Linked DNA regions of Nothobranchius furzeri. The protein of the gene in region 1 purifies or fractionates together with the protein of each later gene. This does not show direct contact. Links are inferred from orthologs where the notes say so. Each region holds a gene or a part of one and is shown in the gene's direction. Other genes may lie near its edges.

Region 1 (5,766 bases):
TTTATGTTTATTTTGTAATGAAACTTTTGCAGTTACAAAACTTGGGACGTGCCCTTTTAACCTTGTTCTGTGATTGTGAATACAGCTATGACTCGCTGGTTTAAGATAACGACGTGCACACTGAGTCCACTTAACTCTTATTTTTGTGTAGCACCTGTGACTGCAGCTTTAAATTTAGACAAAACAATTAATTCAGCCAAAGCATGAATGAAAGTCGGACTTCCTTCAGCCTATTTCTCATTCATTTCCATGTAATGTGGATGATGATTTTCCTCAAAGTGTTTAAAAAACAAACTAAAGATGATGAATTCAACATAAAACAGGTGAAACCACCCAACACCTAAACTGTAAGCAGCCACAAATAATAAATAAAACTTACTGTTAGTTTAATAAATGTTCACAACATTCTGAAAAGTTAGTCAAAACAGACAAATAACTGTTAACTTCTCAGTGTAAAAGAAATCAGAGTAACCACAACAATCTAAATCAATCATGCTTCAGCTCTTGGAAAACATTTCCTAAATCGATAATAATTTGCAGAGTCAATAAATTGGGTCTCTTTACCTTTTTTTATATTTTCTGATGATTCAGTTGTAAAGAAACTTTCTGTAACTCTCCAAGCAACCTCTGGCACACTTCTGAAGACTCAACACTCATCCGTGAGATGCATGAGACCGAGCACAAGGTTGGCCCTAGCACAGCTCAAGAGGAACTTCCACTTCCACTACCATTAACTAATATGTATCCAAAGTACAAAGACTTCATCACGTGTGTGTGTGTGTGTGTGTGTGTGTGTGTGTGTGTGTGCTGGAGGTGGGATGAGAATGTGTGTGTGTGTTATGACACAAATATGATCATGTGTTTTATTACTTACTGGACAGTTTGTCTTATCTCAAGGTCTTGCACACACGCACCCACAAACACACGCACGCACACACACACACACACACACACACACGTTTCTGCTGCACCTGTTTTTTGTGTCCTGTTTCAGCTGAAATGGCAGGCGTGTTCAGAAGTGAGTTTAATTTGAGATGTTAATGATTATGCAATAACATAAAAGAGAAACAAAATGAACATTTGAAAAACAGCTAAAAATATATGCAATATCTTTATTTTAACTGCACTTGTATAGCACCTTTCAGAGTCAGAGACTCCAAAGTGCTTCATACTGTGTGAAAACAATAAACACACAACAGCATCTGCATTATAAAGGGGACCTGATAAGCCAGCTGTTGGAAAAGCTACACTTGTATGAGTAAATCAGAAGTTTCATTTATACATTTCAAATATTGTGTAATAAAAATAAAATACACGTAAATTGTAAATAATAACATATCTTTAGGTTTTGACATTACAGCGTGTATCAACTCTCTCTGGATGCTGAATTTCACATTTAGTTATAACTTTTGTATACATTTTTATCACTGAAAGGTTTTTCTTTGTACCTCTGTCTGCTTAGTTTACAACAATGATTGTATTTGTGTATGGTTGCCAGGAATCAAATTAAATCAAATAGAAATGTTGGTTGAAACTGTATTATTGCCACAATTTTAAAATAAGATGTCATAAAATTAAAACAATGACAGCAACATGGTAGAGGTTTTTTAAACTGATTTCATTGTGCTATTGTTTTATTGGCTCATTATTAATGTTCATTAACTTCATCCAGCAATTCTATTTCACTGTCATCTTGTTAGAAAAGTTTGAGAAAACATTTCAGATTAATCAGAAGTAGATGTTCACAGAAAAATAAATAATTTGTGGAAATCTCTTCCCGTGGTTAAAGCTATATTAAGTTATTGTATGGAAAGCAGAAATAATAAAATATTCATATGTTTATACTTTCAGACACCCTTCCTTAGCTTGTTCAAGGCGGAACCTTCCGAAGGGACGCTTTATGCGTGAACGCAAGCTGTTTCCGGTTAAGTTTGAATTGTTAGTCTTTTGTCAGCAGCGACTGAAGGTACAAAGTATTCAGACTAATTATTACTTGTTTTTTCGTTTAAATGTTTGAATGTGCTTTTGTAGTTTGATTGAGAATTTGCTGAGGGATGGAAAATCTTTTGGAGAGCTAAAAAAAACACATCTTGAGATAAGTTCAGGCGTTTGTGTGGCAGCTTCACCCACGTTTGGTTTTAATCCATAGTTTAAACATTTATGAGCACCTTTACTTGGAGTATTTTACATGTTTTGTGTTTGTTATCGTCTGTGTGTAGCTATGTCCACGCTGTTTCCGTCGTTGCTCCCGCGGATAACAGAGTCGTTATGGTTCAACCTGGACCGACCGTGTGTGGACGAGACGGAGCTCCAGCAGCAGGAGCAGCAGCACCAAGCCTGGGTAAAGCCGAGCTCGGCTCCTGCACGTCATCTGTTCCCTTCCTAAAACTCCGATTTTAATAACGCTCTTGTCTGCTTTAGCTGCAGAGCATTGCTGAGAAAGACAACAACCTAATGCCCATTGGAAAGCCAATATTTGAGGTTAAAATTCGAATAACTAATTGAAATCGTGACATTCTTGCGTGATGGGCCCTATATATAAATGTGCCATCTGTTTTTGCTGAGTGCAGGCAGGCTATGAAGAGGAGGAAGAAGAAGACGATGAGGATGAGGAGGACAGCGAAGAAGACTCAGAAGATGAGGAAGACATGCAGGACATGGATGAGATGAACGACTACAACGAATCGCCTGATGACGGCGAGATCAATGAGGTGCTTTCAGTTATTCTTCTCAAGCACATGATTTAACAACAATATCGTAATTGGCTAATAGGACTTTTAATATAATTGTAACCTTTCTTCTGGCTCTTGGAGAGTACAGACGCTTTTTTTCTCCTCTTCCTCCCTCCTTATCCCAAGCTCTTTGTCCTGTCTTGTGTGCACGGCGCTTTCTGCATTTTTTTTTTTTGGAATTTGAAATGATTAAAAATAGATCTGGTCAGTTGGTCTCTCAACACGATTGACAACATTTTTTCAAAGATGAGAACGGGAGAAGGGGCTCCCGGATGCCCCTCTGGGACAGAACCAGCTGGGCATATCATGGACTCCTGGAAACAGTGGAACATGGTCTGCCTCTCTCAACTGTCTGTAGAGGATTCTGAAGATGTTTGGATATTCGTCGTTAGATTCAGGCTCTGGCACAGAAGGTGGATTCCATCAAGAAGAGAGTTGATGGATCAGCACGGATTGGGATAGATTAATTATGCCATTGCTGGATCTAGAGAGGTTGAAGACCAACAGAACTCTAAGGCAGAGAGGAAATTATCTCTGCCTGTCCCCAAAGCAATTCTTATCTGAATCTGGTGCCCTTGAGCCTGTGAGGCTGAAGTGAAAACTTCCCTCTCAGAAGAAATGTGGAATGCTGCCGTCGCTATGGAAACTCTTTCTCCCTATCCCAGCCTGGGCGGGACTGTGACCGGTGAAGGCCGTGGAACCATATCTAGGAGTCAATGCGCCCTCTAACCCATTATCTCCCTCCCCAGTCCAAACAGAGGTGATGAGTGCTGCTCCATGCGGCTGCACGCACTGAAGTGAGGAGAGTCCCAACCCTACCTCCCCACCTAGTGGACACTTATGTTGTGTAATGTCAGAAGTCTGTGTGCATTTCTGTCTGAGGTGTTTTCTTGCATAGCAAAGCTACCCTCTCTGTTGAGGGTAACTCTGAAGTGCCCTTTCCCCCTCCCCCTGACTCTTTCCTCATATAAACCCTCTTGATCTATTAAGGTAGCGCAACTCGGGTTGCGAATGACCACAGTCACCAATTCTTGTCATGTGTCTATCTCAGAATTGTGTGTACTGAAACTCTAATTTCCCTCTGGGATTAATAAAGGAAAGGTCTACTCCAAGGTACTGGAGAGGAGGGTCCGATCGATAGTTGAATCTCAGATAGAGGAGGAGCAATGTGGTTTTCGTCCTGGCCGTGGAACTGTGGACCAGCTCTATACCCTTGCAAGGGTGATGGAGGGGGCATGGGAGTTTGCCCAACCAATCCACATGTGTTTTGTGGATTTGGAGAAGGCTTATGACCGTGTCCCCAGGGGCACCCTGTGGGGGACGCTCCAAGAGTATGGGGTGGGTGGCTTTCTGTTAAGGGCCATTCAGTCCCTTTACCAGAGGAGCGTGAGTTTGGTCCGCATAGCCGGTAGTAAGTCGGACCTGTTCCCAGTGAGGGTTGGACTCCGCCAGGGCTGCCCTTTGTCACCGGTTCTGTTCATCACTTTTATGGACAGAATTTCTAGACGCAGCCGTGGTGTGGAGTGTGTCGAGTTTGGTGGCAGGAGAATCTCGTCTCTGCTTTTTGCGGATGATGTGGTCCTCCTAGCTTCATCCAGCTCTGACCTTCAGCTCTTGCTGGGTAGGTTCGCGGCCGAATGTGAAGCGGCTGGGATGAGGATCAGCACCTCCAAATCTGAGACCATGGTTCTCGACCGGAAAAGGGTGGCTTGCCACCTCCGGGTCGGGGGAGAGGTCCTACCTCAAGTGGAGGAGTTTAAGTATCTCGGGGTCTTGTTCACGAGTGAGGGTAGGAGGGATCGGGAGATCGACAGGCGGATTGGTTCGGCGTCTGCAGTGATGCGGACGCTGAGCCGATCTGTCGTGGGGAAGAGGGAGCTGAGCCAGAAAGCCAGGCTCTCGATTTACCGGTCGATCTACGTCCCAATCCTCACCTATGGTCATGAGCTTTGGGTAATGACCGAAAGAACGAGATCGCGGATACAAGCGGCCGAAATGAGTTTCCTCCGTAGGGTGGCCGGGCTCAGCCTTAGAGATAGGGTGAGGAGCTCGGACATTCGGGAGGGACTCGGAGTAGAACCGCTGCTCCTCCGGATCGAAAGGAGCCAGTTGAGGTGGTTTGGGCATCTGGTCAGGATGCCTCCTGGACGCCTCCCCGGGGAGGTGTTTCGGGCATGTCCTGCCGGCAGAAGGCCCCCGGGTCGACCCAGGACACGGTGGAGAGGTTACATCTCCAATCTGGTCCGGGAACGCCTTGGGGTCCTGCCGGAGGAGCTGGTGGACAAGGCCGGGGAGAGGACGGCCTGGAGCTCCCTAGTTGGGATGCTGCCCCCGCGACCCGGACCCGGATAAGCGGAGGAAGACGAGACGAGATTTTTGAATTTGAACTAATTACTGTGTTACTCCTGTTCAGGTGGACATGGAAGGAACAGACCAAGATCAAGACCAGTGGATGATTTAAGACTCAGGATGATTTTAGTCCCAAACAAACCATCCACCCTTGAACTTCTACTCCAGCTGCTGCTTTCCCCCCACCATGTGATGCAGATAGGTTTATTTTTTGTGTTTTTGGCATAAAGATCTATTTGGATCACCACAAGATACTTCAGGAGGAGGTTGGCACTTTTGACTACCATCAAGCTGTAACTCATCAGACTTGAAATACCTTATTAGACCCTGCTGTGAATGTTTCTACCTGTTATTTATTAGTGTGAGTGATGTGCGTGAAGATAATGCCACTTGTCCTGTTTTTATGGTAACTCCTGCTACGTTTAAACGTTAGATAAGAGTGCTGTCTGCTGCTCTAAAATAGACCCATATATGCAACGCTATAATTTTGTAGAAGGATTGCTGAGCACGTCCAACTGAGCTCTCCTTTAAACTTTGGCCTTGTCACTTCTTCTGTCATGTGCTTCAACTAAACGCATCCAAGCAGCAGCCTGACTACAACCAGGTTCAGTCAGCAAACTCATTTTTTACTAATGTACAGAAACACAGAGCTTAGTTGGTATTTATAACTTTATGGTACAATATT
Region 2 (5,726 bases), on another chromosome or scaffold:
GATTTTTTACACTTAATTTCAATTGTCAGACACTCCATCAAATTCTCAACAATGAAGGTCATATTTGTTAGTTTCGTACAATCAAAACCAGTCCTAACAAAAAGTGCTACCCCACCCCCTCTTTGTTTTGTCTGCTCTGAGTAAACATTTCATAGCCATCCAGTTTATTCAATAACTCTTTTCCATCTTTGATCCAGGTATCTGAAATTGCAACTACTGTAAGTTTCTCCTTGAACTCATTTAGGTAATCTGAGATCTTAGATAAATTGTTGTAGAGACTTCTGCTGTTAAAGTGTATTAATGAAAATCCACACATACTCACTTTGAAGTCCTCTACAATATAATATTCACAGTCCAGGTGGGTGTTGCTGCAACCATTAATTTCTGAGTCAACTCCATTATCTATCAGATTTGATATTTTTTTTAGATTTTATGATCTACATCACTGACAAACCTAAAAAAAAATCTATTATTTCCTGATTTCTTGTAGTCTGCTGTGTCCATGAATTAAATACCATCTTCTTCTCATCATTTGAGTTTTTCCAGTTCAGAGAGGCTCTTGATGCTCACCACCATAGCCTGTTCTGGTGGTCCAGTAAGCTTGATCATTACTTTACAGTTCCTTATCCAGGTATCCTGTATTTTCCTCTCCTTCTTCAGAATTCTTGCTTGCCAGGCAATCTCTGCATTCTTCTTTGTCAGGTGCTCATTTACATACACTCCTGTGCCCTTAAGCTTCTTTACGACCTTTAACAAGTCAACTTTATGTTTCCTGCTCACAAACTGAATTATTGTTTTGTTTTTTTTTTCCAGTTTTTTTAGGAATTGTGTAGCATGCAGCTATAGTGGTGCTGTCAATAGAAATGCCCTTACTTCCAAAGAACTGAATAACTTGTTTCTCCAGTGACAAACTATTAATGGTAAATGGCCTGTATTTGATATAGCGCCTTCTGAGTCCTGCAACCCCCCAAGGCGCTTTACAACACAATCAGTCATTCACCCATTCACACACACATTCACACACTGGTGGGGATGAGCTACGATGTAGCCACAGCTGCCCTGGGGCGCACTGACGGAGGCGAGGCTGCTGAGCACAGGCGCCACCGGTCCCTCCGACCACCACCAGCAGGCAACGTGGGTTAAGTGTCTTGCCCAAGGACACAACGACAGCGACAGACTGAGCGGGGCTCGAACCTGCAACCTTCCGATTACGGGGCGAGATCTTAACTCCTGTGCCACCATCGCCCACGCAATGGTGGGTTAGGGTTAGTTCATTATTTATTAACTAACATTAACACTAATTGATAAATTTTTATTATGTTGTTTGAACCCAAGGGTCTCATTATCAGATTTTTTTAACTTGTTGGATTGATCTAAAAGTGCCCCCTTTTTTTTTTTTTTTTTTTACTTTGAGCCCCGCCCCGTCAAAGGTCTCTGCACGGCCCTGGTTTCAGTAGAACGAGCTCTACGAAAACCTGACTGCCTGGAAGCTATCATAGATGTTATGAGTGAGTTAGTAGTGAACTGGTGCTGCAACCCACACCAGTAGTGAACTGGTGCTGCAACCCACACCAGTAGTGAACTGGTGCTGTAACCGTAGCTGTGCAGAACACACACGGACCGCACGACGAAACCATAGAAGCGTTCTGATGTTCGCACGTGACTCGGAGCTAACGGCTCACGGACACGCGTGTCTAGCCGAGCACGCGCACCTGCTGTTTGGACCATAAGCGTGTTTCTCTGTTTTAAAGCTTCGTTTGTTTTGTTGTTCAAACTTACCGTAAAAACAGACGAAGCCGCAACGTCTCCTAGCACTGCAACCCGGATATGAAACTGTTGGCTTCCGGGTCAAAGCTTCTTTTTCCGGTTGGTGGATCCGTGGACTTATGGGTAATTAACCAATCTACCTGTTAGCCAGATAACCAAACAGCTGACGATCAGGACGAAGGAGAGTCTCGGTGCGTCAGGTAAAGTCACCTGGGTTCGTCACACAAACGGGTTCGGGTGGACGGAAGTAAAGTTGACATGATGTTCACAGATTCGACTTTTCCGCCTCAACAACTTCGGATGTTCTGGAACATAACGCTGTGTGGAGTCAACCCGCAACACCTGCGTTATTTAAAACCTCTGCTTGCGACGCTTTTACGTTGATGGGGTGACGGTGGCACAGGAGCCCAGAGCCCCCCCTTAACCGGAAGGTTGCAGGTTCGAAACTCATAGAGTTGCGTGTTTTCCCCATCCATGCGGGGCTTCCTTGCGGGGTTAGACGCGGTTTTCCCCCCCTACAGGCTAACTCTTGTAGGTCTGCCACATAAATCAACTTGCCCTGCTCTCCTAACATTTTTTGATAAATGTGTCTTTAATTAGGTGAATTTTTAATCTCCTCCACAGTAGGACCCTAAACCTAGTGGCGCCAAATCGTCACAGCTGATCGATACTCTTGTGCCCGGCTTGGTAAACCTTTTAGGTTAAGAAAAACTGGTTTTCTGATGTTGGGTGAATTTTTCTAACTTGAATTATCAGTAGGTCCTACACAATGCACGGTGGTGCCACCTGCTGGTGAAGGTGGAGGTTTGTCAGCAGTGGCAGAACCAACATTAGGACGAATTACTGGATGCTTTCTTTGCAGTGAGATGATAAAGCATCTGGAGGGCTTGTTAGTGACCTGAGCAGTGAGAAGCGTGATCAGTGAAACATGTAAATGAATGATAAACGACCCACGCTTGTGTAGCACCTTTCAGAGCCTGAGGACTCCAAAGCGCCTTACACTACAGTGCATCATTCATCCATTCACACGCTGGTGGAGATGAGCTACGATGTAGCTACAGCTGCCCTGGGGCACACTGACGGCCAAGGCTGTCAAGCACTGGTGCCACCGGTCCCTCCGACCACCACCAGCAGGTAAAGGTCTTGCCCAAGGACACCACGGCAGCATTCTCTGTCTGAAGCTGGGATCGAAATTGCCACCTTCGGGTTAGTGGACAACCCGCTCTACTCCTGAGCTGCTGCTGTCCATCATGTAGTTCTGAGCTGCTGATAAAATTCAGGGCTGACTACAAAATCTTGCTCATCACATATAAGGCCACTCACAACCTTGCCCCTCGTACCTCTCCCATCTCATAAAGGTTTCTACACACTCCCCAGTTGCCATCAACCGGCACAGTCCCCCTGCCCGTCCTGTCACCGTGGGACGTCTGCCCCCTAACCCCTCTCCGTGGAAGTCATTACCAGCTGAACCCTCCACCTGTTGAAGCTTTTCTCTTCCCTGTAACTATGTTTGACGTTTTATCGTGCTTTTGAATGCACCACTCATTTAATGCTTGTTCGACTGTTTCGTTTGCTTTTACTTTACAGTGAACTTGAGTTTTTAGAAAGTATTTTTACGATGATTATTCACTTCACACATCTGTTTGACTGTAATATCCAGTTGTTGGTCTTCTATTTTTAGCGCTAACTATTTGTTTCTAATTCACTGTTAGCCATATTGGCTAAACGTTAGCTTCTAGCCACTTCAGCCAATATTAAAGTCAAACAAAACAATGCCGTGGCTTCTTAACTTCTGGGTCGCTCCTGTCACTGGCTTTTTTTTTCCTGTTAAAGATTTAAAAATATTCCTACTATGAGGAAATTCAAGCTCCTTCAGTGTTGTTAGTTTGGAGTCAAAGGCAAGAAATCATATAAAATATCTAAACAAATGAGACCTCCTAACCACCAGCTCACATCTACGACCTGGCCTCATAGCCTGCTACAGAGCGACTTCATGTTTGTTTACGGTCCACTAAACATCAGGTTTCAGCAGGTTTCAGCAGGGGACATTTGCACGGACATCACACGTAAAAAATATTTCTAGTCGATTGTTTTTCTAAATGTTAGTATTTGTTGTGCAGGTGCATAACAAAAACGAGGAAGATGCTGAGGAGGAAACCAACTCGTCTGGAGCTGAAGATCGATGACACAGAGGAGTTTGAGAGCATCAAGAAAGAGCTTGAGGTTTCAGTCACTCTTCTTTGTTCTGACCTGTAGCTGTCGTCACCAGATCTAATCAGAGGGTGACTATTGATGTGCTTTTTTTGCTGTCTTTGGTTTTTCTGACATCAGATGAAAACAGGTTGTTGATCTTAACATGTTTGTTTTTCTTTGTTTAGTCCAGAAAGCGTCAGCGAGAAGAAGCTGAGGCAGGAGGAGGAGTGGGTGGAGCTTCTGTCATTGGTGTGGATCTGATTGGGGGTGCAGCTTCTGGCTCAGCATCCTCTTCCACTGCTGCGTCCAGGGCAGAGCTGATCAACGAGAGAATCGGCTACAAGCCCCACCCTAAACCCGCCACGCTGCCAACCTTATTTGGAAGTTTGCAGTTTTAATAAAACTCAGAAAACATGTTTGTATGTATGTGTGTGTTTGTTTGTATGTGTGTGTTTGTGTGTGTGTGGACCACTGGTACGTTACACCAGTGAGTCATGGCAGATGGCTGCTTATATGGAGCCATGATCCTCTGGAGTTTTGTTCCTGTTAAAAGGGAGTTTTCCTCTCCACTGTCGCTGCATGCAACAGTGGAGAGGATCAGACAAGATCATCGGGTGAGGGATCAGAAAAAGAGCAGCCCGAATACCTCTTATGATAAATTATATAAATGGAAACCGTGTTCCCTCGCCTGGACGTGGGTCACCAGGGCCCCCCTCTGGAGCCAGGCCTGGAGGTGGGGTACGTTGGCGAGGGCCTGATGGCCGGGCACAGCCCGAAGAGGAAACATGGGTCCCCCTTCCCATGGGCTCTCCACTCGTGGGAGGGGCCAAAGGGGTTGGGTGCAATGTGTGACGGGTGGTAGTCAAGGGCGGGGACCTTGGCAGTCTGATCCTCGGCTACAGAAGCTGGCTCTTGGCAAATGGAATGTCACCTCTCTGGTGGGGAAGGAGCCTGAGTTGGTGTGTGAGGTTGAGAGGTTCCGACTAGATATAGTCGGGCTCACCTCAACGCATGGCTCTGGCTCTGGAACCAGTTTCCTTGAGAGGGGTTGGACTTTCTACCACTCTGGAGTTGCTCCCACTGAGAGGCGCCGAGCAGGGGTGGACATACTAGTTGCCCCCCATCTGGATGCCTGTACGTTGGGGTTTACCCCAGTGAGTGAGATGGTAGCCTCCCTCTGGGAGTATGGGGTACCAGGCCCTCTGATATGGGCTGTTAGGTCGCTGTATGACCGGTGTCAGAGCTTGGTCTGCATTGCCGGCAGTAAATCGGGCTCGTTCCCAGAGAGAGTTGGACTCCACCAAGGCTGACCTTTGTCACTGATTCTGTTCATAACCTTTATGGACAGGATTTCTAGGCGCAGCCAAGGTGTGGAGGGCATCCGTTTTGGTGGCCTGAGGATCAGGTCTCTGCTTTTTGTAGATGATGTGGTCCTGTTGGCTTAATCAGAACGTGATCTTCAGCTTTCACTGGAGCGGTTCGCAGCAGAGTGTGAAGCAGCTGGGATGAGAATCAGTTCCTCTAAATCTGAGACCATGGTCTTGATTCGGAAAAGGGTAGAATGCCTTCTCTGGGTCAGGGATGAGGTCCTACCCCAAGTGGAGGAGGTTTAAGTATCTCGGAGTATTGCTCACGAGTGAGGGAAAACTGGAGCGTGAGATCGATAGGCGGATTGGTGCTGCATCTGCAGTGATGCGGGCGTTGTACCGGTCTGTCGTGGTGAAGAGAGAGCTGAGTCAGAAGGGGAAGCTCTCGATTTACCGGTC
Region 3 (4,940 bases), on another chromosome or scaffold:
AAGCAGCATCACAAAACACTGCATGAGAATTTTCACCGTTGAAACTTTGGACACTCAACTTGTAGCAGTTGGTAAAATGTGGGTTTTTTTTTCCTGATGTTCCTGCCCCAACTCTTCCCACCATTTGCTGACACTAAAACATAACTGAAGTGACCCTGAATTAGTATTTTGTACTTTAAAAATATATCTTTAGTTTATGTGTTTACTTAAAATATTTTTCAGTCTTTTAATTTATTTCTTTTTTTATTCATTTGTTACACGTTATGTTTAAGGTTTACGTTTATGAAACCAATGGTTAAAAAAATAGTAATTTCTTTCATACTCACTGTTGCTGGCTCTTGTTCTCCGATTGAGTAATATCTCACGATCAAGCCTTTCATACGTTCCACACTATGAAATAGGTAAAAGTATGTGTGATATGTGCTGTTATCAAGTCGGATTGGTATCAGTCAATACCGGTATCGTATCAGAAGTGAGAAAGGACATCCCTAGCTGCGGAGTGGATCCAGGGTTTTCCCTAGATGGGCGGGGATGATGTTCGGTTTTAAAAACAACCAGACTACACATTTCCATGGCTTCAGGGACTGAATTTGCTTCTTAATTCTCGTTCCTTTAAAATGAAACAAACACATTTTTCTTCAGTTCCCTGGAAAAGAAATCCCTTCTGCGGGACAACGTGGACCTCCTGGTGAGCCTGGCAGACGTTTATTTTAAAGCCGGGGACACTAAGAATGCTATTCTCAAATTTGAACAAGCGCAGATGTTGGACCCTTACCTCATCAAAGGTAAGTCACAGACAGCTGTTCATGCCTATGACCGCCTAGCAGTCGTGTGGTTTTCCTAACTTGACCATCTTTTTCAGTGCTGTTGTGGAGGAAATGCAGTTGTTTTTATATTAATGTATATAATTAAATCACATGAAGGGATGGATGTTTATGGCTACCTGATGGCCCGAGAGGGACACCTGGAGGATGTTGAAGTCCTAGGAGGGAGATTATTTAACATATCTGACCAGCATGCTGAACCCTGGGTGATCTCTGGGTGAGTCTCTAAGCAGACATCCCGACTAGACCTTTGTGAAGATGCTTCTATCAGGTTAAATGTTTTTGTTCAGTTGTCACAGCTTTTATAGCAAGCGCTACTCCAGAGCCCTCTACCTGGGGGCCAAGGCCATCCAGCTGAACAGCAACAGCGTGCAGGCCCTCCTCCTGAAAGGGGCAGCCCTGAGAAACATGGGTCGGGTTCAAGAGGCCATCATCCATTTCAGAGAGGCCATGCGTCTGGCTCCCTGTCGACTCGACTGCTATGAAGGCACGCTGGGGTTTTGGAAAAGTCTTTCGGTGCTGGGTGTTTCTCGCCTGCTTACAATAACTGAATTACCACAGGTCTGATTGATTGTTACCTGGCGTCCAATGGGATTCGAGAAGCAATGGGAATGGCAAACAACATCTATAAGACCCTGGGGGCCAATGCTCAGACGCTGACCATCCTCGCCACCGTGTGCCTGGAGGACCCTGTGACTCAGGAGAAAGCCAAAACCCTTCTGGACAAAGCACTTGCTCAGAGACCTGATTACACCAAGGCTGTGGTGAAAAAGGCTGAGCTGCTCAGTACGTTCAACTAACAACTGTAACTTTAACCAGGGAGGGAGCACAACTCACAGGTTTCTCTGTTCAGGTCGAGAGCAGAAACACGAAGAGGGGATTGCTCTCCTACGAAATGCCCTGGCCAATCAAAGCGACTGTGTCCTGCACAGGATGCTGGGAGATTTTCTGGTAGCTGTCAACGATTACCAGGAGGCCATGGACCAGTACAGTATAGCATTAAGGTAAACAGATCAATCTTTCAGAGCCTGTCTGAGATCCCTTCACCTTCACAGTGTAGGGATAGCATATGTATGTGTTTTGGGTGCTTTTAAAGCTCAATATACCACACTACATTTGACCAACAAGATATGAATTTCTATTTAAATATGGAAATTCTGTCTGATTGGTCTTTGAATGTTTAACCAGAAGATTTAGAATTCTTTGTTTATTCAGGGATTGTCAGACACTTCGTATTAAATCAGTCAAGTTTATAAAGAGTAAGACATTTATTTTCTAAACAATTAAAAACATGACAACTAGGAACACTTCATGTGATGAATGAATCTAAGTGGATGGAAAGTGAGGTGTGATGATGTGACGTTATCAGAGCCGTCGTATCTGGAGAAACTGAGTTCTGAGTGGGAGTGAATTTGGTCTGCTATAACTATAGTGATGGTTTGTAAAACCACATCAGACGCAATCTGTGAGCCTACGTATCCTCTGGGAGACCCCCGTGGTAGATCCGGAATGTGTTGAAGTCCGGGGACCCCAAAGGTACCGAAGTCCGTAGAAGAAACTGCAGTGCCGACTAGACCGGTCTCGAGATGTCTCCAGGTCACGACGGGTAGTTGTTTGCGTCTTAGGAATAACTCTTAAGGAGTTGGAAGTTGGTTCAGCTTTGTTCTGAAGGAACCGTTTGCGGTCAGCTGTAGCGTGCAACAGGGTTTTGACAGCTTGTCAAAGATGCGATGGGAGCAGAGTTTCCCTCCGATGGCCAGTCAGAGTTGGGCTCTACTGAATCCCTCAGGAAGTGATGCTGTTTAAATAACGGCCATATCTTGGTTTACTGACGAATCAGAACTTGCCCTGTAAAGGGGTTTTGCCAACAAACTCCGATACACACCTCTCAGATATGAAAGTGCTGAATTTGTGGATAAGAAAATATCTGTTTGCAGTGACGTTATTTCATTTAACCACATTGTCCATTTCATTACATGATTATATGATTAGTTACTGATATTGTTCATCCGTCTTGTTCTGTGAATAAAAACCAGTCTTAGATGAGAGCTTGCGAGGGACCTTGGCCAAGCAACAGTCTTTCTTGCAGATTGAAAGCACCAGTTAAGACTTATGTCTCCAAACGGCCAGATACTGAAGAGGTCCGACTGTAGGTGGAAAACTGACCATTCCTGGAGGCTACAACAGCATGGATAATACCGTTCCGACGGTTTCAGTAGACTTCACATTGTGATGATGATGATGTGTTATGAGAAAAATTTACATTCTGCATTTGCCCCTCCTCAGCCTCGACCCTAATGATCAGAAGTCCTTAGAAGGCATGCAAAAGATGGAGAAGGAGGAGAGTCCAACAGACGCCACGGTGGAGCTGGATGGTGACGACATGGAGGGCAGCGGAGAGGACGGAGATCTGGAGGGCAGTGACAGTGAAGCAGCCCAGTGGGCCGATCAGGAGCAGTGGTTTGGGATGCAGTGACCCGGTGCCAGTAAGGACTGCTCCATCACACTGGATGCCTTCAGCCATTGTGGCCCCTGGGAGTCATGTGATCACGATGGTGAGCTCCATGGGAGCGGTGCTGCTGAGGTTAAAGATGGGGGAGCTATCAAGCGTAAAAGCTAATGTTTCTGAGGGGTTTTTTACTAAGAGTCAGCTTCATGCCAGAACCGGACCTGCCAGCCACCACCGGCCTCCATCAGGAGGATTTACTTGTAAATAACAAACCCCATCAGCTACGTAAAACCAAGGGACACCCAGTACCACTAATGGTGATTATGCTTCTCTCTGGTGAGAAATCCTGAGGAGCTTTCTCATTTCACTTTGAATCTGACCTCCAGTACCCTTCACAGTGCTGTGTTAGATGGAGGCCCGTGCTGTACAGGAAGTGTTTTAGTTGAGCTGAAGGTGAGTAAACAAACCACCAGCACTGGCGAAATGTGGCTGTTGTCTGCCAGTGTGGCTGGGGCTGAAGGTGTTGCAGGAAGATTTCTCCAGCCTGACTCAAACATCAACTCAAGTGCAAAGTTTCCAGTGTTTTTTTTTTTACATGTTGTAATAAATGTATAATAAACTTGTTTGGTTTAGAGCTAGGTTGTGTGCTGAAACAGTTCTTAAACCATAACAGTTTACTGTTGCAGTATCGTGTGTCCAGCCTCAGACGACATCAGAAGGACACCAGGAGAGACGGGCTGAGTTCCTCATGACAGTTTTATTGACCTAAAACAGTTCATGTCATACATAGTACAATTATCTGAAAATACAGTACAGCAGTTTGGCCAGTGGAGGGACTGCCTGTCATCCTTCCAGTAAAACACGAGCATCACAGCACTCCCACCTTCTCATAAATGTGGTCTTCTCCAAACAATAAAGCTAACAGTTTGCTTTTTAAATATCCCATAAAACGTATTTCCTTAGGAAAAATGAACTGTTTTTAAAGCGTACTGACATTTATACTACCTGACATTTACCAAAACTATACACTGTTGGAGAAGTCTGATAAAACAGCTGGCTGTGCTGTCACATGCAGCATGGAGTAATTCTTTGACCATCCACTGAGTGGTGGTGGTGAGAATAGTTAGATCTCATGCAGGAGGCCAGAAGGACTCATGAAGGTGAACCAACTTGTTTCCATCACATTCGTTAATGGCCACTCTACAGCGATGGATGAACTTGGCCCATGTCGTCATATCACATCGTAGCATGCAGCTCTCGTTAGAAAGATGTGCTGCCCTAAACACACACGCACACCACAAAACAAAACCCAGAGTTTCTGCAAGACATTTAGAGGCGGCACAGCTTACTTGGCCTTTGCTGCAAGGGAAAGGAGAAAGAATGAATGGACACCAGAACCACATATAAATAAAAACATCACAATCATTCACATCAAAGCAGAGCACTGAAGGTCGTGTTACGGGCGAGCTGCAACACGAAACTCCCGGTGTCTGTAAAAACCAGACACCTTATGGGCCATTCCCATCTGTACCGGGTCGGCCCGGGCCGGGTAGCCCCAGTCGGCCCCAGCCTGGCCCGGTTGCTTCCACACATCCTTGTCTTAAGCCCATGTGGGCTGATTCTACCCACCAATCAGAGGCTTGCTCTAATGGAAGGTGTGAATTTGC
Region 4 (5,199 bases), on another chromosome or scaffold:
AGAACCACATTATTTAATTAATTAGCTGCACGTTCTTCTGTCCTCACACACACACACACACACACACACACACACACACACACACACACACACACACACACACACACACACACAAAAGGGACTGTCTCAGCTGTTATTTTCGTTAAGGAGTGTGCACGTACAGCATGCGCGCCTCGTGCACGAGTCTACTATTGAAGCTGCCGTTATGCTTTTGGCCTGAGGGGGCAATCGCGAGCATAAAAATTAAAAACTCCGTCAAGTCCCTTTAAGAAACAAAAATTGGAATAAAAATCTTTATTACCAGGATATTTCCTTTCAGTTGTGATCAGAATAAATTCAAAATATTAATTTAAGACTTCATGATCTAATTTATTATTTGTCCTTAAATCTGCTTCCTACAATCTACTTTTATGATGAAGAAGAATCTGACATTTTCAGTTTCTGGCTTGTTCACGTCTGAAAAACAAAACCCGTGTGAGGTTTCTGGTTCAGCACAGAGAGACGGGACGGATGAGATCTCAGAAATGTAACCTAGATTCTGTCTGAGACCTAAAACTGGTTCTGAGACGATGATCGTTCTCTGTCTGTGTCTCGGGTTTTAAACTAAACCAGGAGTTTGTTTTTATTTATTGTTTGTGTCTGAAAATTTTCATTTCTCTGTCCTTTTCTGTTTAATAGAAACAACCCAAAGATTCAGTAAAGTTCTGTCATCAAAGCTGACCTCAGGCTGGAAATGGGTCAGATTTATTCCCCTGTGGTAAATCATGTTCTCTCCTTGGTTTCTGTTTCCCAGATTTTCCGGAATCTAAAGCTGCCATCGAGGATCTGAAGTTCTGCTTGGAGCGAACCAACCAGAGGCAGCAGCTCCTCGTGTCGTTGAAATCAGCCTTTGAAAGCCGCCTGCTGCACCCAGGTCTGTGTCAGTGTGAAGGACATCGACTGAACTCTGAGATCAAACTGCAAAGTTCACGTTGGGTTAAAATAAAAGACTAAAAATGCACCAAAACCAAAGTGGTAAAAAATAAAAGGCATTAAAATGCTGAAAAAGAAGCTTTTCTGAATAGAAGGTAAAAAACTGACCGGTTTAGATTTCTAAAACTGGCTGTTTATTAACAAACAAGTGGAGAGCTAAAAGCATTTCTTTGTTCCCGTCAGAGAAACGTTTCCTTTTTATCAAGCCCACGTGTTTTATGTGGAATCTGTTTGTTCTTCCAGGCGTTCACACGGCCGACATTCTCACCGTTTACATCTCAGCCATCAAAGCTCTCCGAGAGCTGGACCCGTCCATGGTGATCCTGCAGGTGGCCTGCCAGCCCATCCGTAAATACCTCAGGTAGGTCCGGTTCTTCCAGCGCTGCTTTAGTCTACCATCACCACTTGGAACAGTTCAACCTTCTGATGAAATACTTCTGATAGAACAACACAGATCTTGTTATAAATTGTTCGTTCTTTAATAAAAGTCTTTTTTTTTTCACTACACCCACTGTGTTCTTCTGATTCACATTTTAATTTACACTTTGGAGGTTTTTTTTTCAACTATATTTTCATTTATTGACATTAAAATAAAAATACAAAACTAAATTGCTAAAAGCCAAAATGAAAAAGGGGACAGAAAGAAGAAAAACGTATGTTATCTGCCCCTTTTAACTAAAATAGCAATAATACAAATGAAACAATCATATGATTCTTAAAAAAATATGAACAATATAGTTTCTGGACTGGTTGGCCGACACAACCTCAACCCATGAACCGAAAAAAAAGAGAAAAAACAAGTTGCACAGAAAGAAGCACAAAGTTATACGCATATATACCTACATATATACTTACATATATACACATATATACTTACATATATACACATATATACCTACATATATACTTACATATATACACATATATACCTACATATATACTTGCATATATACACATATATACCTACATATATACTTACATATATACACATATATACTTACATATATACACATATATACTTACATGTATACACATATAGACTTACATATATACACATATATACCTACATATATACACATATACACCTACATATATACACATATATACTTACATATATACACATATACACCTACATATATACACATATTCACCTACATATATACACATATAGACTTACATATATACCTACATATATACACATATATACTTACATATATACACCTACATATATACACATATATACTTACAGTACATATATACACATACATATATATACACATATATACACATACATATATATACACATATATACATACATATATACACATATATACCTACATATACACATATATACCTACATATACACACATATATACCTACATATATACACATATATACCTACATATATACACATATATACCTACATATATACCTACATATATACACATATATACCTACATATATACTTACATATATACACATATATACTTACATGTATACACATATAGACTTACATATATACACATATATACCTACATGTATACACATATATACTTACATATATACACATATACACCTACATATATACACATATATACTTACATATATACACATATATACTTACATATATACACATATATACTTACATATATACACATATACACCTACATATATACACATATAACCCTACATATATACACATATAGACTTACTTATATACACCTACATATATACACATATATACCTACATATATACTTACATATATACACATATATACCTACATATATACACATATATGCTTACATATATACACATATATACTTACATATATACACATATATACTTACATATATACACATATATACTTACATGTATACACATATAGACTTACATATATACACATATATACCTACATGTATACACATATATACTTACATATATACACATATACACCTTACATATATACACATATATACTTACATATATACACATATATACTTACATATATACACATATACACCTACATATATACACATATACACCTACATATATACACATATAGACTTACATACCTACATATATACACATATATACTTACAGTACATATATACACATACATATATATACACATATATACACATACATATATATACACATATATTCATACATATATACACATATATACCTACATATACACACATATATACCTACATATATACACATATATACCTACATATATACACATATATACCTACATATATACTTACATATATACATACATATATACACATATATACCTACATATATACCGTAAATCCTCTAATACAGGCCCGGGCCTGTATTTGACTCAAGCTCATCAAGCTCCAGGCCTTTGTTGGAAGGAGGGCCAGTATTAGAGGCAGGCCTCTATTTCTATTTGAGCAAAATGAACTAATGGTTCGTTGGAGTTTTTGACAATTAATATTGTGCCCACGTTTTCAAAGTTAAACACATTTCTTTTAACAACGGTAGTTTCTGCTTCAGCCCTCTCCCCCCTCCCCCTGCGCAGCGGCTGCAAACTCACTGATGCGCCTGCAGCCTCTCGGAGTTCCTGCTGCTCTAAACATTAAAATAATTAATTCATTTTCTGTTCCTCACTTCTGATTACCTTCAATGGTGTCTGTTTGTTGCAACCACCAGGTACAAAAACTAACTTGTTTTTATTTGACTATTTTTTTGTCCTGCCTGTTTATTATCTTCCTGCATCTCCTCTCAATCCTAAAGAGAAACTGCTACCTGGGTTCATATATATTCACCTTATGAGTTACCTTTGAACTGCAGTTCTAAAAGATCTACCGACCGCAAAAACAGCAGAGTGCTCGCTGCTTGCCGGCCGCATCAGTGATCGGTGCGTCACCGGATGACAAGTTGATGCGCCCCGCTCCACAGCGAAACGCATCAGGCGCAAATAAAAGACAGAAAACATCAAAGGAAATGAACCGACATGAACGATCGCGTGTTAAATAATTTGGCAACACCTGATTGTTACTGTGGCTGTGCTCAGGAGGCAGATTACCGACCTCAAAAACAGCGGAGCGCTCCCTGCTTGGCGGCCGCATCAGTGATCGGTGCGTCAGAGGACAAGGTGATGTGCCCCGCTCCACAGCAGCGAAACACATCAGGCGCAAATAAAAGACAGAAAACATTAAAGGAAATGAACCGACATGAACGATCGCGTGTCAGTACCGACGCTCTGGCACAGCTCGTTGCCCCCCCCCCCGAGCGCAGGAGCTTGTCACCTGCTGATAGCAGGCTGCTGTCTTTTCCGAGGGCTGCATCTTGCCGGTCATTATCACGTGACAGCGACTAGTCGACGACAGGCATAAAAAGTCACTATAGTGAAGTAGACTAGTTCATACAACCCCTAGTGCTCCCCAGTGTTCTGCAGCGCACGTTCTCTTTGAACTTGATATCAAATTTTCGCCTCCTCTTCATTTCCGCACAGTTAAAGTTACCCTCGCGGTCTATCACTGGCAAATCAAAAGTGAGACGATGACACAACCGCCCCCCGTACTTGCTTGTTACCACATTCCACCTGGCCACAATAAGAGACCGGCCATTATTCACCTCCGCCGACTCCGACACCGGCCAAAATTGGAGACCCGGCCTTTAATTGAATACCGGCCTGTATTAGAGGATTTACGGTATACACATACATATATACCTACATATATACACATACATATATACACATACATATATACATATATACACATACATATATACACATACATACCTACATATAAACACATACATACCTACATATATACACATATATACCTACATATATACATACATATGTACACATATATACATACATATGTACACATATATACCTAAATATGTACACATATATACCTAAATATGTACACATATATACCTAAATATATACGCATATATACCTACATATATACGCATGTATACCTACATATATACGCATATATACCTACATATATACGCATGTATACCTAAATATATACACATATATACCTACATATATACGCATGTATACCTAAATATATACACATATATACCTACATATATACGCATATATACCTACATATATACGCATATATACCTACATATATACACTTATATACCTACATATATACACTTATATACCTACATATATACATACATATATACACATATATACATACATATGTACACATATATACCTACATATT
Region 5 (5,199 bases), on another chromosome or scaffold:
CCCGACCTCTGCGTGGAGCAGCTGTGGACTGAGACGGTCGCTGCTGGCTGTCACAGGTAATAACCAGAACTGAGTCAGCTTGAAAACAGACATACAGACTTGATTCATTTACAGCAATGACAGTTATTAGAATTACTGATATTTCTGTTTTAATATAAATTCATCATTTTCTTCTAATTGATTGCTTTTATTCACTTTTCTGTTATGTTAGGTCATCAAGACTCTTAATGAAATGTATCCATGCCTCATCTTTTTATGTCAAATGACCTTTTGAGGACAAATTAGCTTAGGCAAGCAATTTGATTAACGCAAGTTTTTCTTAAGCTACTGTTCCATCTTTTCTTTTTCCTCTTGGGTCATTAAACTCATTATTTTTTTTTTAGCATTTTTTGATGATAATTAATGTGTCATTGTTGCACAAAAATGTAAAATATACCTAAACAAGTGGGAGAAAAAATATGCCGTTCTGATCTGTTTGCTTCTGCAGGGAGATGAGCAGTCAGGCATCAAAAGTGTTCATTACCTCTGACCTCTGTGAGAACCGGTATCTCTGTTTCCTGGTGGAGTCTCATCAGCAGCTGAGGTCAACAGATACATGCCACACACACACACCGTCATTTTCATTTTGAAGCTCTGAGTCTGATATTTGAAACTAGAGCTGGTTTACTCAAGCTCTGATGTATATTCTTGGTTTGTTGGTGACTGTTTTGTGTAAAATTACACATGCAGCAGAGTCAGTCATTGATGCAATTTGTGTCATTCTAAATATTTCACATTTAATTACATTAGTCTTCACACCGTGACCCATCTGAGTGGCTCTATTTTCTTCTATCCACAGATGTGTGAAATTTATCGAGAGCAACGAATCGTCTCAGCTCATCTTCCCGTCTGTGACGACCATTTCTGCCAAAGATGCAGCACCTCTACAGGTAAGTTAACTACAGTATTGGTCTATCAATGGAAATGTCAATTAGAAGAACAATCGAGTGCTTCTGACAACAGATTTCTGCTCGACAGAATATAGACGCCATGTTGGTTCTGGAGGCGTGTGGCAGTCTGGTTCTTTACACAGGAATCACCAGGGTAGGTACAGCCCAGATATATGTATGTCGATGGTACAGCCTCGGGAGAAATCTCTGATGACTGTTTTCTACTTCAGACCATTTATTTATTTTTTTGCCATGGAGTGAAAGTCATGAATTTGTTTCCTTGTCTTCCTGCAGGTCAGTAAGGTGTTTGTTCCTGGTCTTTTGTCCCCCAGCTTCAGCCTTTCCAACCAGCGGCCCCAGATCAGTACTCCTGTGGAGAGTGTCAGCACACCTGCTAATGGTGTAAACAGGCACATCCAGAGACTCAGTGAGGTACCAGCACAGGTCAAGACAGGAAGTTAATGAACGACAAATAGAAATCCATTTACTTTCCCAAGTTTTATTCTCTAACTTTTGCACACCCTTTTTTCAGGATTTTATGCCTTCACCAGTATCAGAGCCTAAGGGTCTAAACAACAAACACCATGAAGCATCATTTTTTGAAGATCACATTTTCCAACAAGCCACACCCTGCATACATGGTTTACGGGATCCTGTCTGCAACCGGGTTACTTTGGTGAGTTTGCTTTTGTAAAAATGAAAAAAAAAAAAAAAAAAAAAAAAAAAAAAAAAAAAAAAAAAAAAAAAAAAAAAAAAAAAGACAGTCACTTAAAGTCTCTTTCTAGAGTATTTCTCTCATTCAATGGCACTATCTAGTGGCTGACAAGCATATCACACACATAGTCTCTGGATCCATTTTTTTAAGATGGCAACTTCATGTTTCTGTTTATAAATGTGCCTCTGTAGCCGACAAACAGAGCTAAACCACGTTGTTTTACACGTATTATTCTCATGTCATGTTGTGTTTTCATATATTCATATTTTAAAGACTTGTCTGTGGAAAAATACATCAACTCTACATCAGCAGGTATGCTGTAGTCTAACGCTATTGGTGAGTTTTGGTTGGTGCTCAGTTCCCTATTGCTCGGAGCTCTGCTGGGCAGGGGGCGTGCTTAGCAAAAAAAAAAAAGACGTACTTGATAAGATAATGACTTTTACGGATTTCTGAAAAATCATACATAATTTCTGAAAGGGGAAAACTCTGAAAAGATACTTTAAGACAAGAAGTTATTTTTTGCTAGAGCTAATATTTTGGGTGTGTCAGAATCCCTGGGAAGGATGCTTGTAAGAGCGCATTTTGAGGTCGATGACGTCACAGCGCAGCAACGAGTACTGTCCGAATTCCTAGAATACTCATTCTCGCGTCCTCGCTACACCCACTTATATATATAAATTTCACTTTAGTTTCCTTACTTTGAACTAATATATGATGACCTGCTTTGCACATGTATTTTTTTAATAAAAAGTTGAGTAAAACATAAATAATTACACCAATGTTTTTTTATTTCACTAAACGAACTAGAGGAGGCAGACACTAAGCTTTCATAAAGCAGGAGACATGGCAGAGACTAACCTGTTGCTGGTCTCATTTCATTTTGCTGCGTGACTTTATTTCCATGTTTATTCCTGCTCAGGGCTTTTATGGGGCACATTCTGTTAACCACCAAGTCTAAAATGCTCCCACGCTGTGCCTTTTTCTAACCGCTTCATTTGTGAGTAAATTTATTTGGTCATGTGACTAGCTCTTCTTCTGTGGTTATGGGTTAGGGTTAGTGAGCTGGCAGTCAACCAACCAGTTAACCAGGCAAAACTATTTTACCAGTTATAACATTAACAGGAATTAACCGATTAACTATGAACATCCCTTATTTTAACCAAACATGGTCACAGAAACAAGAGATTTTGATTGGTTTGATTTTCTGACATTTTTTCTTTGGGCCCTTTATGTATCAATTATTTATGTTGAACCCTGCAGAGAATTTCAAAGCTCCAGATTTGGGCTGTCGAGTTGATTGGTTATTTTCTCATGAAGTTTTTTCTCTTTTAAAATACAGAATTTGCCCAACCCAGTTGGATATAACATGATCTTAATGTCACTAGAGATGTGGGTCTATTATCCACATATAGATTGGAGCCATGCCACCTTACTCTCGTCTCTTCCAAAAAGTCATTGTGGTAGAGCTGGCGATCCATTGGAAATGAGATTATCTTCATCCAAGTTTCTATAATGTGTGTGTGTGTGTGTGTGTGTGGGGGGGGGGGGTCTAAAGCCTCAAAGCAACAGTGATTTTTTTTTTTTAGAAAACATCCTAGAAATTGCGGTCACCATCAAAGTGGAGCGTTGTTTTCAACACGAGTCGAGAGCAATGCTAAAGCCCTAATAGAAACTCTGATCCAGAACTTTACTTCCTAATTCCAGTCTGTTGGGTATTAACTCTTCTCCTTTTGTAGATTTACAACAGTTTGGTGTTTTTGCTATATCAATTTATATTTAAATACATCTGGACTCTTTCTCTGCTGAAATATTTCATCACCAGACTTTTTTTGTTTTTAACAAAATCTGATTGAGCATGACTAATTTTCTATTTACCTGCTTTAGTTACAGTTTATAAAGCAGATGATTGAAATAGACACAATCTTAAATTTCACCACACTTCTGTGAAATTGGACTGCAAATCAAATCAAACTGTATTTATACAGCACAATTCATACAATAAATGCAACTCAAAGTGCTTTACAAATTAAAATGACCCCACATACCCACATTCCCTCCATCCCCATAAATATAAAAGCAGTATGACAATAATACCCCCATTACACTCATCGTCTTGACACACACACACACACACACACACACACACAAAGGTGTCATTTGTATTCTGGTGTTTGTTTAATTATCAACAGGAACTCGGCGGTGGTGCCATGCTGAGGATCTCTGTACCTGAAGTTGCTACATCTGAGCTGGGTAAGAGAAACGCCATGATCATGTATGTTATACACAATAAAATGAAATTGCCATTTGAAACTCTGTGTTTTTGTTGGGTAGTGTAACTGTTAAAAGAATGCATACGTTTTTAATCGGACCATCTCAACTAGAGCCCTGCACGGGCCTAAAATCTGAGCCCGTGTCCGGCCCGGCCCGAGGGTATGGAGCCCCAGCCCGACCCGGCCCGAAAAGGTTTTCAGGATTCTCTGGCCTGACCCGAGCCCAAGCCCGACTTTTTTTTAACCAACTAAATGAAAAAAAAGTGCGTCAATCCTGACCAATGTGTTAAAAGACGTGCAGGATCCGATCAATTTGTTTTCCCCTCATTTACCGTCACGGAGATAACGGCGCACTGGCTCTGGTGTTAATCAAGTTAAATTTGATCTCTTTCCAACAATTTTCACAAGAAAACAAAACAGTCAAGAGCAGGGCTCGTGTTGTGTTGACCGGATAGTTCCCGTATTTGACGGTTAATTTTGACGGAGAAAGAATAGAAAAAATTGCCCCGACGCATGCAGACGAACTAACATCTTATTCATTATGCACATCGCAGATTTAGCTAAATCACCCAAGAAAAGATTCCCATCTGAACATCTGAGCTGGACATTGCTCAGCGCAGCTGAGCGCGTCGCAGAACCAGAGCGCATGCGGGAAGCTTCCTCCCACTGAAGCGAGTGTTTTCCAAACCCTGTCACTCAGAGAGACTTGTCACTTAGTAAATGTTCCCTGATTATGAAACTTTGGCTGAATAGTGCTTGTTCCTGTCTCCAATGTGGCGACACATCCAGGAGCCGTCTGAGGAGAATCCCAGAATCTCACATCCTTTTCAGCTCAGAAAGCACATATGATTAAGCATAAGCGTGACCCAACCCAGTCTCACAGCAAGACTGGGTTGGAACTGTTCAGGTTTACGCAGACAATCTTCACATAGAATTGACTTACAGATATAAAATTAATTCAGTAAAATATAAAGCATTTTATTTGAATATCCATTCATTATTTTACAAGCACAGAGAGCAGCATCAGATGGGATGGAAGAGCCGCGGGTTGCCGATCCCTGCTCTAGTTCAAGATATCATTAAAATTCCAAAAGTGCTGAAAAGATTAAAAATTGGGCTTTTCGTGCACATAAAATACATTACGGTAGCCACCGGGATTCCCTGTCTTGAGCGCAACGAATCACAACACAGATTCAGAGACGCACCGAGTTTGTCATCTAAAATGCTCTGTTTTATAACTTTTGAATGGCGGATCAGATTCAAATAATTCCAACAGTTCCTAAAA
Region 6 (3,975 bases), on another chromosome or scaffold:
TAGTTTGAGTGTTTTCGGTTTTATTTATGTGCTCACGCTGTGTTTTGCCTCATGAAGCAATGCTACGAATGTGTGACGAGCATGTGCCCCCAGAGCTGAATAAGGTGGGATTTAATGGGAGACGAGGGGCTGTGGGGCTTCATGAAGTGGCTGTACAGTTTCATTGTGCTGTTTGGTTTCCTCCTCAGATGACTCAGAAGGACATCGCCTTTGTTGCTGACTTCTTGTCTGAACATTTTAGTGAGGTGAGGCGAGTTCATGAGTGGTGCTTGCTTGTTGTCATGCTGTTTATAAACTTGCTTGATAAATAAATGTGGTGCGGAATAGTATCAGTAGTATTTATTTAGTAGAGATTTTAAACCTGATTTCACTGTTTAACAGAACGAGGAACTCTTTAATCGTAAGGGGAAATACTTCAACGTAGAGCGAGTTGGTCAGGTGAGGGCTTTTGTTACTGAACAGTTTAGAAAACATATCAACATTATCTTCTTACCTTGTGGTGGTTTGTCTTTGTTTTGGACGCTTTACAGTACCTGAAGGATGAAGATGAGGACCTGGTGTCTCCTCCCAACACAAAGGGTAACCAGTGGCTCAGGTTTTTACAGGAGAGCACACACCTGAAAGGTAAGTGATGATTTTGAGTTTAGGTGCCTAATTGAACTTTTGCAGAAGGTAAAATGTTTTATTTGGCGTTTTATTTTGTGGGATACAAAAATAACGAAATCCTTCCTCTTTAGAGAGTCCTCTGCTGTTCCCATCATATCCTCAGAAGTCCCTGCACTTCGTCAAGAGGATGATGGAGAATGTGATTGAACACTGCCTCCAGAAGCCTGCTGTAAGTGTTTGTGTGCCGTTTCTTTTCTCGTCAGTACGAACAAGCATCCCGTCGGCTCTGCAACACTATCACTCTTAAATATGTTGCCTTGTTTGCAGGAAGTAATTGGAAAATCTGTCAAACAAGCAGTCTTCCTTCCTTTGTACGCCATTTCAGAGAAGTAATGTCCCATTTGTCTTTTTATTGTCATTGTTTAACATAGTTAAAATTTAAAAGGAAATGTAATTAATTTGATGAATTTTTTTTCTCCTTTAGGCCAGAAAACACTCCACGACTGTTTGAGCTTCCATCTTTGTGCGTGAAACCCAAACACGTCAGAGCTTTGTTTCTGTAATAACAAGATTGGTGTTTGTATTCATGGTTTAAAAAACATTTTTGTGTGTGAACACACAGGTGGAACGATAAAAAAAACAAAATGCACTGTGTTGTGTTCTGCATGCCAGACATTTCTCCATGTAAGCTCTACCTGCTACAAAAAGGAACAGACCCAAACAGGTACGCTGTAAGGATTCAGTGCATTTCCTTTTTAGCTGTTTTTTTTTTTCTTAGTTATAACCAAATAGTCCTGTTTCTGCAGACACATCCCTAACAGTTTCATGTCAGTGGACCTCAGCCTTTACCATGACAACGCAGATGATGATGGTGCTGCAGCCCAGTGAGTCCAGCTCACCATGGACGCATCAGCTGTTTGAAAAGCGCTGATTACACTAATTTACCATCAGTTTCCTATTCAGGTCCCATTGTGCTTATAGCTGCCTGGATGCTCGTTTCTATGACGACCAGATGCTAACAGTGGTCTTGCAAGGATCGGAGGAACATAACAGCAGGCGTATCCTGGCGCAGCTCTCTCTTGCCTCGAGCTTAAGCTGTGACGCTGAGTTCGTCCTGGAGCCCAGTATGAGGTGTGTGTTTTCTACCATTTTGTGCCTTTTACTATAAATGTTACTGACATCAAACCCAAAACCATTCAGGAAAACAAAGACGTGCTCTGGGATTTAAGCTTTTTCAAATGGGATCTAAATAAAATGAACTGGAAAATAAGTAATGTGATTCCTGTAACTATAACATTTGGCATCACCTGATTAAAGTGTATGTGTTTGATGTCGCTAGACTGGACCAGCAGTGCAGTACCATCCCATGCCAGACTCTGGTGTTGGGGAATCAGTGGCGAGAAATGGAAAACATGAAGGCTGAGTTTGTTGCTGTCAATGGAATCCGCAAAGTGGCCTGTGTGGTAGGTTTGTCGCGTGTGTTTGACATTGTTAGCCTTGACACTAAACCACTGGGCTGCATGGTGGCGCAGTGGTTAGCACTGTTGCCTCGCAGCACGAAGGTTGCAGGTTCGAAACTCGGCTCGGCTTTTCTGCGTGGAGTTGCGTGTTCTCCCCATGCATGCGTGGGTTTCCTCCGGGTACTCCGGTTTCCCCACAGATCACAACACGCCCTATAGTTATAAGTTGTAAGTCGCTTTGGTAAAAAGCGTCTGCTAAATAAATAAACATAAATAAATAAACACTGAAGCCACTTATGGGTCAGGTGCCTTCTATTACATGATCTGGGTATGACTTCAGGTTGAGATGTCGGATTATTTGTGTAACTGATGTGATCAATAAGGTCAGATTTGTTTGAGTCTATATATTATTTAGTTTGCATGAGTTCTAGGTTACCAAAAAATGTATTTTTCTCCCTGTTTTGGCAGCTAAGTGCCAACTTCAGGCACATACGTGTCTTTGAGATGGATGTAGAAGATGAGGACGACGAGGGAGTTGACTCTCTGAATGTCAGCGCTCAGGATGGGCTGGCAACTACCATCACCAGCCAAGGACCGGTAGAGGAGTCTGAAGGTGAAGCGAGAGAGCAGGAAGGAGAAGCAGTACAAAATACTGAAGAGCAACTTGAGTCGGAGGAGGCCCTGTAACTCCCGTGATACCAAAACTAAAAAGCTGCCTGAATAAAGGACTCAACTTTATCTTCTTATGTTGTTGGAGCAGTCTGAACTATACAGCTGTAATAATTATTAATAAAAGTTTATTTTAGCGATGATTATGGTATTGATTGTATCTCTTAAAGAACTAGGTTTTATGTAAAACTAGCCTAATTTAGACAACCTTAGCCCTAGATGCTGTAAACGTGTGGGTCGGTGGAAGAGTGTTTATCTGCATATTGGAAGTGGATTGATGCTGGTCTCCCTGTACATCATGATGTGTTCTTGGTCAACACTGAAACCATGAAGCTCGGGTGTGAGTGTGAATTTAACTAGCAGTAAAAGTGCCTTGAAAGGTTTAATGACTAGAAAAGCCCTTTATAAATCAAATTAATCAATCAAAGGTACTTTATTAATCTCAGAGGGATTGTCTATAAAATGTCAATCTGATATTGAGAGTTCCTCAAGGATGTGTATTCGGCAGAGGTGTGGACTCGAGTCACATGATTTGGACTCAAGTCATTATTTTAATGACTTCTGACTTGACTTGATAAAATCTATAAAGACTTATGACTTGACTCGGACTTGAACACCAATGACTTGCAACTTGAATCGACTTATCTGTTGACTTGATGATGACTTGAGCATATTTGATATTTTAGCAGTAAAGTGCCACGACATGGACAAAAGTCTGGGTTTGATCTTGTACGGCTAACGGCAGCAGCTCTTTGTTAATAATCAGTTTCAGTTGCACTTTCTGCTTGTTTGAGCAAGTAAATTACGCTTTAAGAAGCTTTATTCTGGAATGTATTTATTATTGTCATTAAATTGAAGTTGGACAGATGACTTGGATTTGACTTGAACTTCCACATCATTGACTTTGAACTCGACTTGGACTTGACTGGAAAGACTTGTGACTTGCAAAGCAGTGTCTTGGTCACACCTCTAGACTCAGTCCTTTTTACTTTAGTGCGGTGACAGACTACTGCCTATGTCTATTCACTTCCACTGATTAAGTTATCTGAAGATACAACAGTGGTAGAACCAAGGCTGGATTATAATACGGGCAAACTGGGCACAGGCCCAGGGGGCCACAGCCACAAGGGGGCCCAGTCTTTTTTTTATTTTTTATGCAGCAGTTTTAACGTTGGAGAAAAAAGTTGACAAGTTATTAAACTTGCGCCCACATTTTCTAAGTTAAAACACATTTCTTTTA

Evidence for each region.
Region 2: the proteins of anapc15 (region 1) and cdc26 purify together in Homo sapiens (affinity purification with mass spectrometry; 3 studies listed by BioGRID and IntAct, with this or other methods). This does not show direct contact. The link is inferred for Nothobranchius furzeri from reciprocal best matches to the Homo sapiens genes ANAPC15 and CDC26.
Region 3: the proteins of anapc15 (region 1) and anapc7 purify together in Homo sapiens (affinity purification with mass spectrometry; 3 studies listed by BioGRID and IntAct, with this or other methods). This does not show direct contact. The link is inferred for Nothobranchius furzeri from reciprocal best matches to the Homo sapiens genes ANAPC15 and ANAPC7.
Region 4: the proteins of anapc15 (region 1) and anapc2 purify together in Homo sapiens (affinity purification with mass spectrometry; 4 studies listed by BioGRID and IntAct, with this or other methods). This does not show direct contact. The link is inferred for Nothobranchius furzeri from reciprocal best matches to the Homo sapiens genes ANAPC15 and ANAPC2.
Region 5: the proteins of anapc15 (region 1) and anapc1 purify together in Homo sapiens (affinity purification with mass spectrometry; 3 studies listed by BioGRID and IntAct, with this or other methods). This does not show direct contact. The link is inferred for Nothobranchius furzeri from reciprocal best matches to the Homo sapiens genes ANAPC15 and ANAPC1.
Region 6: the proteins of anapc15 (region 1) and anapc4 purify together in Homo sapiens (affinity purification with mass spectrometry; 10 studies listed by BioGRID and IntAct, with this or other methods). This does not show direct contact. The link is inferred for Nothobranchius furzeri from reciprocal best matches to the Homo sapiens genes ANAPC15 and ANAPC4.

What each region holds. Positions count from the first base shown.
Region 1 is NC_091753.1:34,127,330-34,133,095, forward strand, and holds the start of anapc15 (anaphase-promoting complex subunit 15), read left to right. Parts: upstream 1-1,875; 5' UTR 1,876-1,966; intron 1,967-2,219; 5' UTR 2,220-2,221; coding exon 2,222-2,341; intron 2,342-2,421; coding exon 2,422-2,481; intron 2,482-2,570; coding exon 2,571-2,711; intron 2,712-5,145; coding exon 5,146-5,193; 3' UTR 5,194-5,766. UniProt on the Homo sapiens protein: Component of the anaphase promoting complex/cyclosome (APC/C), a cell cycle-regulated E3 ubiquitin ligase that controls progression through mitosis and the G1 phase of the cell cycle.
Region 2 is NC_091746.1:69,564,382-69,570,107, forward strand, and holds cdc26 (anaphase-promoting complex subunit CDC26), read left to right. Parts: upstream 1-1,832; 5' UTR 1,833-1,967; intron 1,968-3,887; 5' UTR 3,888-3,909; coding exon 3,910-3,990; intron 3,991-4,145; coding exon 4,146-4,358; 3' UTR 4,359-4,376; downstream 4,377-5,726. UniProt on the Homo sapiens protein: Component of the anaphase promoting complex/cyclosome (APC/C), a cell cycle-regulated E3 ubiquitin ligase that controls progression through mitosis and the G1 phase of the cell cycle.
Region 3 is NC_091757.1:28,331,297-28,336,236, reverse strand, and holds the end of anapc7 (anaphase-promoting complex subunit 7), read left to right. Parts: intron 1-642; coding exon 643-785; intron 786-923; coding exon 924-1,041; intron 1,042-1,114; coding exon 1,115-1,311; intron 1,312-1,385; coding exon 1,386-1,610; intron 1,611-1,677; coding exon 1,678-1,828; intron 1,829-3,110; coding exon 3,111-3,300; 3' UTR 3,301-3,501; downstream 3,502-4,940. UniProt on the Homo sapiens protein: Component of the anaphase promoting complex/cyclosome (APC/C), a cell cycle-regulated E3 ubiquitin ligase that controls progression through mitosis and the G1 phase of the cell cycle.
Region 4 is NC_091745.1:17,485,645-17,490,843, forward strand, and holds part of anapc2 (anaphase-promoting complex subunit 2), read left to right. Parts: intron 1-793; coding exon 794-913; intron 914-1,215; coding exon 1,216-1,333; intron 1,334-5,199. UniProt on the Homo sapiens protein: Together with the RING-H2 protein ANAPC11, constitutes the catalytic component of the anaphase promoting complex/cyclosome (APC/C), a cell cycle-regulated E3 ubiquitin ligase that controls progression through mitosis and the G1 phase of the cell cycle.
Region 5 is NC_091752.1:26,765,928-26,771,126, forward strand, and holds part of anapc1 (anaphase-promoting complex subunit 1), read left to right. Parts: coding exon 1-56; intron 57-487; coding exon 488-583; intron 584-838; coding exon 839-929; intron 930-1,002; coding exon 1,003-1,083; intron 1,084-1,223; coding exon 1,224-1,373; intron 1,374-1,461; coding exon 1,462-1,605; intron 1,606-3,833; coding exon 3,834-3,894; intron 3,895-5,199. UniProt on the Homo sapiens protein: Component of the anaphase promoting complex/cyclosome (APC/C), a cell cycle-regulated E3 ubiquitin ligase that controls progression through mitosis and the G1 phase of the cell cycle.
Region 6 is NC_091748.1:39,293,966-39,297,940, forward strand, and holds the end of anapc4 (anaphase-promoting complex subunit 4), read left to right. Parts: intron 1-57; coding exon 58-104; intron 105-188; coding exon 189-245; intron 246-381; coding exon 382-438; intron 439-493; exon of another isoform or gene 494-530; coding exon 531-624; intron 625-737; coding exon 738-835; intron 836-933; coding exon 934-995; intron 996-1,090; coding exon 1,091-1,129; intron 1,130-1,228; coding exon 1,229-1,330; intron 1,331-1,412; coding exon 1,413-1,490; intron 1,491-1,557; coding exon 1,558-1,737; intron 1,738-1,945; coding exon 1,946-2,069; intron 2,070-2,534; coding exon 2,535-2,753; 3' UTR 2,754-2,878; downstream 2,879-3,975. UniProt on the Homo sapiens protein: Component of the anaphase promoting complex/cyclosome (APC/C), a cell cycle-regulated E3 ubiquitin ligase that controls progression through mitosis and the G1 phase of the cell cycle.